3 linked regions of the Coturnix japonica genome follow. The protein of the gene in region 3 interacts with the protein of the main gene of each other region in a pairwise test. Links are inferred from orthologs where the notes say so. Each region holds a gene or a part of one and is shown on either strand. Other genes may lie near its edges.

The links.
Region 1: the proteins of SPRY1 (region 3) and MEOX2 interact in binary tests that used the Homo sapiens proteins (3 or more experiments, as listed by UniProt). The two-hybrid records come from large-scale screens. The link is inferred for Coturnix japonica from reciprocal best matches to the Homo sapiens genes SPRY1 and MEOX2.
Region 2: the proteins of SPRY1 (region 3) and GEMIN4 interact in binary tests that used the Homo sapiens proteins (3 or more experiments, as listed by UniProt). The link is inferred for Coturnix japonica from reciprocal best matches to the Homo sapiens genes SPRY1 and GEMIN4.

The regions. Positions count from the first base shown.
Region 1 is NC_029517.1:25,705,345-25,708,013, forward strand, and holds the end of MEOX2 (homeobox protein MOX-2), read right to left. Parts: intron 1,896-2,669; coding exon 1,671-1,895; 3' UTR 610-1,670; downstream 1-609. UniProt on the Homo sapiens protein: Mesodermal transcription factor that plays a key role in somitogenesis and somitogenesis and limb muscle differentiation. Required during limb development for normal appendicular muscle formation and for the normal regulation of myogenic genes.
Region 2 is NC_029534.1:5,681,726-5,686,083, reverse strand, and holds the start of GEMIN4 (gem-associated protein 4), read right to left. Parts: upstream 2,907-4,358; 5' UTR 2,894-2,906; coding exon 1-2,893. Other genes in the region: GLOD4 (glyoxalase domain-containing protein 4), read right to left, coding at 3,486-3,551, 3,814-3,900, 3,981-4,094, 4,334-4,358. UniProt on the Homo sapiens protein: The SMN complex catalyzes the assembly of small nuclear ribonucleoproteins (snRNPs), the building blocks of the spliceosome, and thereby plays an important role in the splicing of cellular pre-mRNAs.
Region 3 is NC_029519.1:47,745,895-47,750,156, forward strand, and holds the start of SPRY1 (protein sprouty homolog 1), read right to left. Parts: upstream 2,914-4,262; 5' UTR 2,797-2,913; intron 1-2,796. UniProt on the Homo sapiens protein: Inhibits fibroblast growth factor (FGF)-induced retinal lens fiber differentiation, probably by inhibiting FGF-mediated phosphorylation of ERK1/2. Inhibits TGFB-induced epithelial-to-mesenchymal transition in lens epithelial cells.

The sequences.
Region 1 (2,669 bases), on a different chromosome or scaffold from region 3:
AGATCAAACTTACAGTGGAAAGGATTTGGAAAACAGCCTCAGATCTCTTGATTGTGTCTATCTTTTATGATTCCCTATTACTCCACATAGCAGAGCTACAGTGAATACTCTCAAGGACATGCACATTTACCACTTGCACTTTCTTTCACTCTGCATCTTCTATTGCAGAACCCAGTTGAATTCACCCCTTATGTTTTTTGGAGGCATTTTAGTATCTTTCTCTTGAACAACACTATCAGATAAAGGCACTGTGATGTAAGCATGCGTCCCTTTCCTGATTTTTATTCATTTTTATTCATTTCAACAAGATCCAACAAAATAACCCTTTATAATCACTCTAGATCTGGAAAAATGGTTGAACAGACTCTTGTTGTTTTTGGCTGAAGACATCATTAGCTGCTAGATGCCTTTTTCCTGCTGAAGGAAAGAGTTTCCCAAATGGATCAAGGTGGAAAGTTTATCCAAGATTAAAAGCCTAAATTTGAAAATGTAGCTTTGTGTTGTTCACAGATGAAGTTCCAAAAGACCCAAAAAAGTCAGAGTTCCTTAGGACTTTTACAAAACAATATTCTTAAGTTTCCTATGAAATCACTGTAGAAAGACCAGAAGTATTTAAAAAGGATTATTTATTAAACATTTTTCTTTACAAAGTACAATCAATGGTTTGCATTAAATTTTGAGTTTTGGTGTTTGCCTGTATGTACACAAAAGCTTGTAACAGAAAATGTGTCTTGGTTTTATACATGGGACACAATAGTGAGTTACCTTCATATTTTGATTCCTACCAACATAAGCAGTTGATAATAACTTCCAGCTTACTGCTTTTTAAACTGAAGATGAAGCAACATTTCCACAGAGTCAGTATTAATCAATGTACTCAGTGATGACAAAGTAGAAATGAATAATCCTTTCTGGGGTTTCCACTGAATATGAACATTTTCTGGCAGGTTACTGGACTATCCTTATGATCCTAAAAATCTTTTTTTTTTTTTTTGCAGTTATAAGATAAGAAGAATTGAGGAGCTAGGTAAGTTTAATAATACCCTATTAGCAGCAGTTGATAGTAAATGCAACATAACATTTGTTTTGTCTGTCATACAAGGACGTGTCCTAGCAGATACTTTCTCTACTTGAACAAAAGTATCTGCATGTATTGTATGTCTTTGGCGAAACAAAACAAAAATAAAGAGACAAAAAGCCATTTATTGTCATGAGTGACTATTGCCATCAGCTAATATGAATGCATTGCTAAAATTAGTGAAGACAGGAAAATGCTGTAAGGTAAATATATACAGAGTTAAAATACATTTCTTATCCACTAGATAGTGATTTTGTGGCACTGTGGTTTTCAGAATATAATGTCTGTTGAGAGCAATGTAATTTTCAGTGCAAGCTAAAGCAAAAATACCTGCCCGCTGTCATAAACATGACAAACAAATCTGGAATGTTCAAAGTTCATCTTCCACTTCTCCAATCTTGAGGCACCTTTAAGACATGGCACTTACTGTAAACCATCTAAAAATTGAGAAAAACAGACACAATAAGCCTGAATCTTCCATAACAACTTTAAAAATCACTGCCAGAGTCACTTGCATACGTAAACGATGCCTGTGTAAGGCTTGCCAGCAAAGCATCTTTCCTGAGAACGGATCTGGGACAATCTCTGTGTATCATAAGTGCGCGTGCTCAGAGCTGTGATCGCTGTCGTGGCTGTCATCATTCGCTAGTGAGTCCCCCGTGTGCTGGAGACCAGCTGCCCCAATGCCAGAGAGCTCAGAGGGGAGTAGCGTGCCTTTTTTCACATTCACCAGTTCCTTTTCCCGGGCTGCTGCCCCTTGCTGGCCTCCTTTTACCCGCTTCCACTTCATCCGTCTGTTCTGGAACCAAACTTTTACCTTTGTAAAAGAAGAAAGGAAAAAAAAGAAAATAGACATGGTGTCACTGAAGGTTGATAACCATCTTCCTAGCTGTACTATAGCCCCGTCTTTTTTGTTAAAAGTACAGCAAGGGCTCCCTGACTGTCAAGAGATCAAATTTGGGATGGAATGAGTGCCCTGGGGATGTAAGGATAATGACTGCATGGGATGGAAAAGAGTTACAGCAAGAAGGCTGCAGGCCCAGCTGCAATATGCATCACTGCTGTCATACCCTCAATGGGAAGACCTCAGAGCCCTTTAGAAAAAACTGCAAATTCAACATGCTCTTGAAAAATGCATTAATGCCATTCCACATATAAAGAAACAGAGACACAACTGAACCCACAAGGGACTGAACAGAAGAACCCAGCTCCTGGGTAGCCCAGTGTGGTGTGCTACTTATAATGCTTTTCTAATTACATTTTAAAGGAAGCTAACTACTTCAGAGAGGAACTTCCACTGAAAAAATTTCAGTGTTTTTTGTCAACTAGTGGTTTTGAGTGGAGCACTGTAAAAGTTTTTTCCTTTCAATTTGCTGAAGCAAAGTGACTGAAAGAGTATTTCTTACAGTAAAACTTATGACTTCCCTATATTACAAAAATGTTTAAATAAACTTAGTTGATAAGTCCTTAATTCTACTCCATTTATTCACATTTTTCACACAAATAAACACCCACAAAGGCAGACAGCAAAGCAGTTATAAATCTGAATCAAAATCAGCACACAATCAAATAATTTCAGATAAGAATAGAA
Region 2 (4,358 bases), on a different chromosome or scaffold from region 3:
GCATGTACTGCACATACTCCAGTGTGTACGGCACGTGCAACACTTGCCTCTCCAGCAGGTTTGTGACCACATGCACAAGCCTCTTCCATTCACCGTGGCTGCACCAAGGGAGGACCTGTATGAGGGCCACCAGGAAGCCTTTGCTGAAGAGATTCACTTCCTCGGGGTTGTCCACGTTGACCATGAGGAGTGAGAGCATCGTCTCTCTGAGCTCAGTGGACACACAGCAGCACTCCATCCATGCCAGCAGTCCACTGCCCGGCCCGTAGGCTGGCAAAGGCTGGGATGTCCATTCATCTTCAGGGAATGTGCAGATCTCAAATAGCGTCGCTGGGACCTCATTCTTGAAGTGGTCTCCATAAAACTTCTTCAGTCGGAGACCAATGGTCCAGTCCAGCGATGCCACCTTCCTGTGAAGCCAGGCCAGAGACTGGACCCAAACCTCTGGGGAGGAGGCAGTTTCTGGAGTCACGACCTCACAGAGCTGGCTGAGGACACTCAGCACCAGGTCTTTGATCTCCAGGGATGGGAAGAGCTGGTCCTTAGGCTGATGCCAGTACTTTGTGTAGCCATCTAGAAGCTTGCAGAGGCTGAGGAGAAGTGGGAACGGGTGGCAGGACTTGATCCAGTGCTCTTCTGGGTAGGACCGTATTCCCAAAACTTTACTGAGGATCTGCAGGCTCAGCTCAATTTGAGCACAGTCTGATTTCAAATAGGGAAGGACAAAAGCTTTGGTCACTTCTGCAGGTGATACGAGTGGGGCAGCTGAACTTGGCTGCAGGAGAAAGGCCAAAAACTCAAGAAACTGTTCCTCCTCCCTTGCAGAGGAAAGCTTTTCCCATGCTGCCTCCTTCAGGCACCGTACCACCAGGCTGCCTGGACCATCATGAGTCTCCAGGAAGCTCAGAGCTGGGAAAGAGCAGAGGATTTGCGCCAGGAACTGATGTGCTCCTAGGTTGACTACAGCAAGACTACAAATCTGCTTCACAGTGGCCTCAGGGTGCAGCAGAGCAAGCCTAGCCACAGCAGCCACAGCCCTGGTAATGCCTTCATCAGATAAGCTTTTAGTGATCTGGTTGAAAGTCACATTGAGGTCCTCCTGGAACCCATCCATGACAACCTGCAAGTTCAGGGAGAGCCCTGGCCCACCCCAAGCCTCCAGGACACCCGAGATCACTTTGTTTTTGTCTGTTAATGGAAGCTCACTGTAACACTCCACAATGGCTTTGATCATTTGCATCTGCATCTCCCGGGCCTCACGGCCTTCACAGGATGTGGCAAAGTTCACCAGAGTCTCCAGCAATTTCCAAACCAGCTCTGGTTTCTGGAAAAGAACCTTGTTTTTCACAAGGCAGTCAACCCAGCCCTTTGAAAAGGCCCAGGTCTTTTCAGAAGCAAAAATGGAGCACACTTCCATGTGCCGGTGCAGCTTTTGCTCAATGATTATCATGGCAACTGAGGATTCAAGGCTGGTGTCCAAATCCTTGTTCTTCTGGGTGGTGCTGATCTCTGTGAGAAAGCCATCAACTGTCTGTGCCAGTTGTAATGCAACACGCATCTCATCCTCACTCAGGTCTCCAGTCTCAGAGAAGCGAACCAGGATCTTCCTGAAGGTGGAAAGAGTATCAAGGAGCCAGTAGCTCTCATAGCATTGATTCTCTGAGCTGTTCAGGACACCCCGCAGCTCCTCTCCCCAGGCACACAACAAGCTGTGAAGAAAGTCCAAGCCAGCTATGAGTTCTTCATGCGACAGCTTGGCCATGGATGAGAAGCTCATGGTCCTCTCAGCTTCCTTCACTTTCTCATCCAGCTCGCTGTGGTGGTGCTGGCTTTCAGTGTCACTGCTCCAGAGGCCGACCACTGAGCTGACCTTGGCCAGGTACTCTGCAACAGGGAGGGGGCTGCCCTGTGGCTTCAGCTCGGTGAACACAGACAGCAGCTCCACCAGGTTGCCCAGGGCGTAGCACTTCATGCGGGGTGAGGTGATGCTGCCGTAGCTTTGCTTTAACCCCTCTATGAGGACCCCAAGCAGGCTGTCTGCAGCAGGAGGGCCATTCAGAGAGCTGGGGTCCCCCTTGAACCTCTTTGGGGGCTGCAAGCCGTCATCCAGAGCGCACTCACAGCCGTGCTCACGCACCAGGGAGCCGAATGCAGCCACCGTGCTGTCCTCCGGATCCGGCTGTTGTCTCAGCGCCTCCCACCACACATCCATGAGCAATGTGACATCCGACGGGGCCGTCTCGTGGCTGACATATTGCACCAGGTGCCGCAGCTCAGCCCGGCTCACGTCGGGGGGCAGCGCCAGCAGTAACTGCACGAAGAGCCGGGGAGCGCCCAGGGCCTTCACCAGCTCGAAGAGAACGGTGCGGTTCACGTCGGGGATCATCGCTCCCACGGAGAAAAAGGCGTCTTCCTTCCACTCCTGGTCCAGGGAGGCGGCGGGCGGGGCGGGCAGAAGCACCTTGGCCCACACGATGGCCACGGCCTCCTTCTTCCACAGCCCGTGCTGCCGCGGTGAAGGGCAGCGGGCCCCGATCTCCCTCAGCGCGTCGGTGATGGGCGGCCCGACGAGCGGCCATTCGGCTTTGAGCAGCTCCCTCAACGGCCGCGGCTGCAGGAGCCTGGAGGCCAGCAGGAAGCCGCCGTGCAGGATGGCGGTCTCCTCGCACACGCCCCACGGCCCGACCCGCTCCCCGCTGCCCGGCTCCATGGCGGCCAACGGAGCAGACAACGCAGCCCGCGCTCCGCTCCGGCAGAGCAGGCGGCCGCCGCGATCCCACAGCGCCCCCTGGCGGAGCGGAGGTGTCTGCCCCCGGCTGGAAGGACGCTGCGCACACAGCCGCGCGGTGCTTCTATTCACATAAAATTGCATAAAATTCACATAAAATTGCATAAAATTCACATAAAAATTTATTCACATCAAGGCTCATTTCCAACAACGGCATCACCGTCAGCACTGATCCGACCCCGACTCATTGACTGCATCAACGCCAAAGCAACACCGGCACGTCGAGAACTGTTCCCATTTAGACTATTCATTGCAGGCATTGCTAATGCTGCTGCTTTTCATCAAGAGATCAATAACGAGCAGCCTGACCGACAGCACCGGGCACTGCAGCTGCTGCTACCACACCAATCTCAGCCCTGCGCTGCAGTCAGGACGGCTACAGCTCATTCATGACAGATCTGGATACTTTAATCAACCTGGCAACTTCTCCTTCAAGTGCAACCGCACTAGGAGGCATTCACCTGCAGCTCCAGCGTTGGAAGCCACGTGCCCAACATCCTCCCTGCTTTACACTCACGTCTGAAGTTGCACCTGATATTTGATTGAAAATAAAGAGGAGCTTGAAATGAAAGAGATACAAGCTGAAAAGGAACCAACAGAACAGCATGGGACGTGACTGAGCCCTCCCATGGGATGGACAGCACAGCTCAGATGAAAACCAAGGCATGATGACCTGCCAGCCCAGCTCCTCCTCCAGCTATGCAGACACCTTCTTCATATTCCGGGCAGCAAACCACGTGTCGCTCTTGTCAGCTGCCATGGCCTGAACAAAGGAAAATAGGAGCATGTTTGGCTGACTCAGCTGCCATTCCAAACACTGAGCTGCCCACTTTCACCACCCTGCCCCACAACAACAGGCTGATTATCAGGCTCTATAATCCAGGGGGAAAGCCAGCCTGATGAAGAAACTGTTTCTTGTATATTAGTAATGAAAACAGGCACTGAAAGCTGCTCTGCTGCAAAGAATATTTGATTCCATGGGCGGCTGTGATCAGGATGAAAACAAAAGACAGATCATTACTTACATCATCCAACAGTTTGCCACCATTGGGATCCACCTTGGACAGATCTCGAAATGCTTCATCTCCCACAAAACAGATTTCATGGCCATCCTAAACCCAATTCAACAGCAGGTCAGGCAGATAAACAGGAAAGAGACATTGATTTTATTACTGTTTCTGATGCTACTCACAGGATCAGCCAAAATGACCACTTGCACTGTAGCTTTGCCAGGTGTGTCCAAGCTAACCAGAGGCGTTAAAATCTTCTGGTTCTCCTTTTTCATCAGTGCTTCAATGTTTGGCAACTTAAAGAGAAAACAAATAACATCAGCCTCAGTCAGGTGAAGCCAGGGCATATTCAGGCTGTTCTCATTTATAGTTTCCTGCTATCTGCAACTTCATTGCATTCCCACTGTGAGAAATGTAAACTAAGGATCTGATCAGCGTTACTTTGATCATCTCTGAGAGATTTGGCTGATAGCAGACAGGTATCTCCTAGTACTCAGCAGGATGATGAGAGGGATAAGGAAAGCAGGATTATTACCTCTTCTTTGGCACAGGAAAAGGCA
Region 3 (4,262 bases):
CTATCCATCCAGAGACCACTTGCTCCAGTGCATGCCAGATGAGAAGTCACAAGCTCCACAGGTTCTTAGCTCACTTCCAAACAGAATTCAAAACTTCTGCTTCATCTCAGCTGTTGTGTCTCCCGTGGTCCCCAAGATAACGTCATAGGATAAATTCAGCTTAAAATTACAGCGCACTAGTAACAGTAGAAGGTACTGGCTATTCCCAAAACGTCAAGCTAAAGAGTCCAATCCTGACAGAAACCATTTCAAGGTGTAGAGCGCATCTTTGTGCAAAGCCATCTCCAAGACACCAATCAAATAAACAGTTCCGAAAGCATACACAGAGCAAAGTAGGCCTCACTTCGTTCTGAAGGAATCCCCAGGAAAAACCCGGTTGCTTTTCTTGGATGTTCTTGAGAGTCACACACTTTCAGACAGCATGCAGTAACACGGAACTTTCTTTTTGAAATTAATCTATGGAGGTTTTTTCTTACAGCACTGGGGCTTTTCTTTTTTTTAGGACTAGGGTAAAACATGTCAGCTCTAAGGATGGGGGAAAAAAAAAGCCTAAGATTTACAAACACCCCTCTTCTCCAGCTGATGCTCACTTACAAGGTTGATTTTGTCATCACACCGTGCCAGCATCTTCCAGAATTCAGAATACATCATCTCGTGTTAACTTAAGATAGTCACTATGGATATGCCAGGGTGGATGCTTAAGTACAAACTGCCTACAACTTGTTTGGTCAGTGTGGCAGAGCTTGCCAGCAGGAATGGCCACAGGAACGGCCCAGGGCATTGCCTCAGTTTCTCCTGAAGCCATTAGCTCTGCTTCAGCCCCTATCAGTGCTGTTCTGGGACCTTACTCCTACTGTCTCACAGTTGAAAGTCAGCTGCATTCCCTTGTTTCACAGGGCCCAAGGTTCTAACCTCACATCTGCTTAGCATGTTATTTTCCACAAAGCAACCATCTCCTATCACATGATCTCAGGGGACAACCACGTAAACTTCCATGAAAAACAGCAGGGAGGTACAAAACGGCCCGCTGGAGGTACTGGATCCTTTTGATGGCTACAAATACTCGTAGGAAAATAAAACTTCTTTGAGCTTAATGATGTACTGTGGGCTTTTCTTCTCCATCTCATTGTTTTTTCATGTAGAGTTTAGAAATAAACAATGAGCACACTTAGAAGGAGGAAGTTTTCCACACATGCTTTCTATTAATTTTATTTCCTCCACAGATTTTCTCATAGTTTTACTCACCAACGTTTTCCTTCTGTTCTCATTGAGGAAAACAGGCAGAATTTCCCTCCTTTCCCCACTAGTTGCTACTAAATTTCTGGAAGATCCAGAAGACATTTCATTTTAACATTAAAAAAAAAAAAGAAAGAAAAAGGTTTTTGCAGCAGTGCTGACTGCTGCCAAATAATTATTTAATAATTATAATGAAATATTTCCAAGAGGAAAAAAATCTGTAAAAATACCATGATTTCATTCCATTATAGCCACAACAGGTACAAGCAATGCAAGGAAGTAACCCATAGTGCTGTACAGGTTGGCTGAGAAGGGGTTTTATTCTATTCTTTATTTACTCCAATGAAAAGATGACACTGGAAGATGACATCTGGGGACTGGCTCTCACCTCAGGGATAGAATTCCATGAAGGCCACCTCTCTGCACTACCCAGAGACTGTGAGACCAATGCAGAAGCCAGTGGGTTTGGCCTAGGACAGCTTAATCATGGAATGGCCTGGGTTGAAAAGGACCACAATCATCACCGAGTTTCAACCCCCTGCTATATATGCATGGCAGCCAACCACCAGACCAGGCTGCCCAGAGCCACATCCAGCCTGGCCTTGAATGCCTCCAGGGATGGGGCATCCACAACCTCCTTGGGCAACATGTTCCAGGGCATCACCACCCTCTGCGTGAAAAACTTCCTCCTAATCTCTAACCTAAACCTCCCCTGTCTCAGTTTAAAACCATTCCCCCTTGTCCTATCACTGTCCATCCTCATAAACAGCTGTTCCCCCTCCTGTTTAAACACTCCCTTCAAGTACTGGGAGGCTGCAATGAGGTCTCCTCAGAGCCTTCTTTTCTCCAAGCTAAACAAGCCCAGTTCCCTCAACCTTTCCTCACAGGAGAGCTGCTCCAGCCCTCTGATCATTTTAGCAGCTCTCCTCTGGACCCACTCTAAGAGCTCCACATCCTTCCTGTACTGGGGGCCCCAGGTCTGGACACAGTTGTGGTAGAGCTGGGTAGAGGGGGACAATCACTTCCCTCTCCCTGCTGGCCACCCCTTTTTTAATGCAGCCCAGGATGTAGCTGGATTTCCAGGCTGCAAGCTCACACTGCTGGCTCATGTCCAACTTAATCTTGGATTTGATTTTACTTTGAAAGAAAGAAAAAATGAATCATAATCTCAACTTAAGTATTTGAGAGTCAGGCTCCAGAAGCACATTTGCTAATCCAGCGCTGATAAGGTTAATGAGATCAAAGCCAGACCCCACTGAGTGTTTAACAGAGATGCTTCCTAACATGGGTCAGGGTGACTACAGCTGTGTGTCACAAACACACCGAAATCAGCATCAAGATGACACAGATCAGCCCTTGCTCTGATTACACTCGCTACTCCCACTTTCTGCCTCCCACCGACTCTCTCAGCCCCTATCTTTCCAAACTAAAATCAGTGAGTGTTTGATTTCAGGGCAGAAATTCATACAGTCATCTTCAAACATTGTGTCCGTCTCCTCTCCTCCCCAGCCCCCACTGTTAGGCAGTGAGGGCTCCTTGGGCTCTGCTTCAGGCACTTACCTTCTTATCCAGCAGGCAAACCAAAGTCCAATCCCTTCAATTCTGTGATTCGGCGAAAAACTCAGACCCTCAGCAGTCAAGTATGCAGGGAGCAGCTCTCCCACCATCTTCTTTTAAGTCTCCCCAGCAAGCACGGAGGGGCCTAACAAAGCTCTATGCAGCCAATTGTGTTATCAAGGCACTTGGCACTACCAGCTGACCCTCGATTGCTATTCATCCCTCGGGAAAATAAAACACCCTTTTGTAGTGAAAGTGTAACCGGTTACTATGATGCGTTACATTAACAAAAGCAGCTTTTTACCAAAATTACGGATGATGAAAGCCTGGATGTGGGCTCAGACCAAGGGAACCAGTTGTTTCTACATGTTTCAGACAGCTTAACCAAGATTTCCACGACACTAAGAAGAAAGAGGTGGATGAGTTATGTTACATGTTTGTACAAAAAACAGCAGTGAGTTCTGTAAACCAAATTTCAAGGATTTTCTGTCACAGAGATTTTTTGTGTGGCAGCATCCTGTGCACACCACCGTAATCTCAGTATTCATGGGATCTCTGGTATTTTTGTGCTTTGCTTGAAATCAACACAGAATTTTTTAATATGATTTTCTATTTTTACTTTTTCTTTTCTAGGGGTCCTGCTTATTAAAGAGCATAACCATCTGAAAGATAGAATCTGTAGGGTAGAAGGGTAGAGCTTGCTGATTTGGTGGTGAGGAAGCATGCCAGCACATTCAAGGTTGTATTTGTGTTCTAATCTACTTAAGCACCCCTTGGCCTTCACACCTGCAGCCCTGTTTAGGGATCCCTCACTCTCAAGGCAACAGCTCTCCATTAAAGCTGCGGTGCCCAGGTTTGGGCTGTGGCAGTGCAGCCAGGGGGACATTCACCTGAAAGGAGCCCAATGACTTTGGTCGCCTCACCTTACTGCACCCAACACATCCAGCTCCCAGCTAACACAGCAATCCAAACGCCACGGAGATGCCTCATGCATAACAACGTGAGGCCAAATAGACACAATTCACATCCTCAGCTTTGGGAAAGCTCACTGACAGAGAAGCTGCTTTCCATGGCATTAAGCAGAGAAGGCTGGACGGGAGCAGCTACCCTGTGTGAAACCTGAAGCACTCTCCAGCAGTGTAGAGAAAAGACATGACCTCATTGTTCCACAACCCAGATAATCCATTCCTGGATAAAGCGAGAGACAATGAGTATTTCACCTTGAAGGTTATCAAAGAGTTTGCCACTCTCCATGGAGGCGTTTGCTTCCCCAGACAGGGATGTGAGAACTTCTCTGTGTTAGTGAAAGAGACGAAGCCATCAAGGGGTTGTGGCTGAGACCACACAGCCATGCCACACAGGCACAGGTACTGAGAATGGCAGCATGTCCTGGCCTATTCATGCACACAGGATGGAGGCATGTCTCTCTGAAAGTAATGCCACATATTTGCACAGAAACAACAACAGCT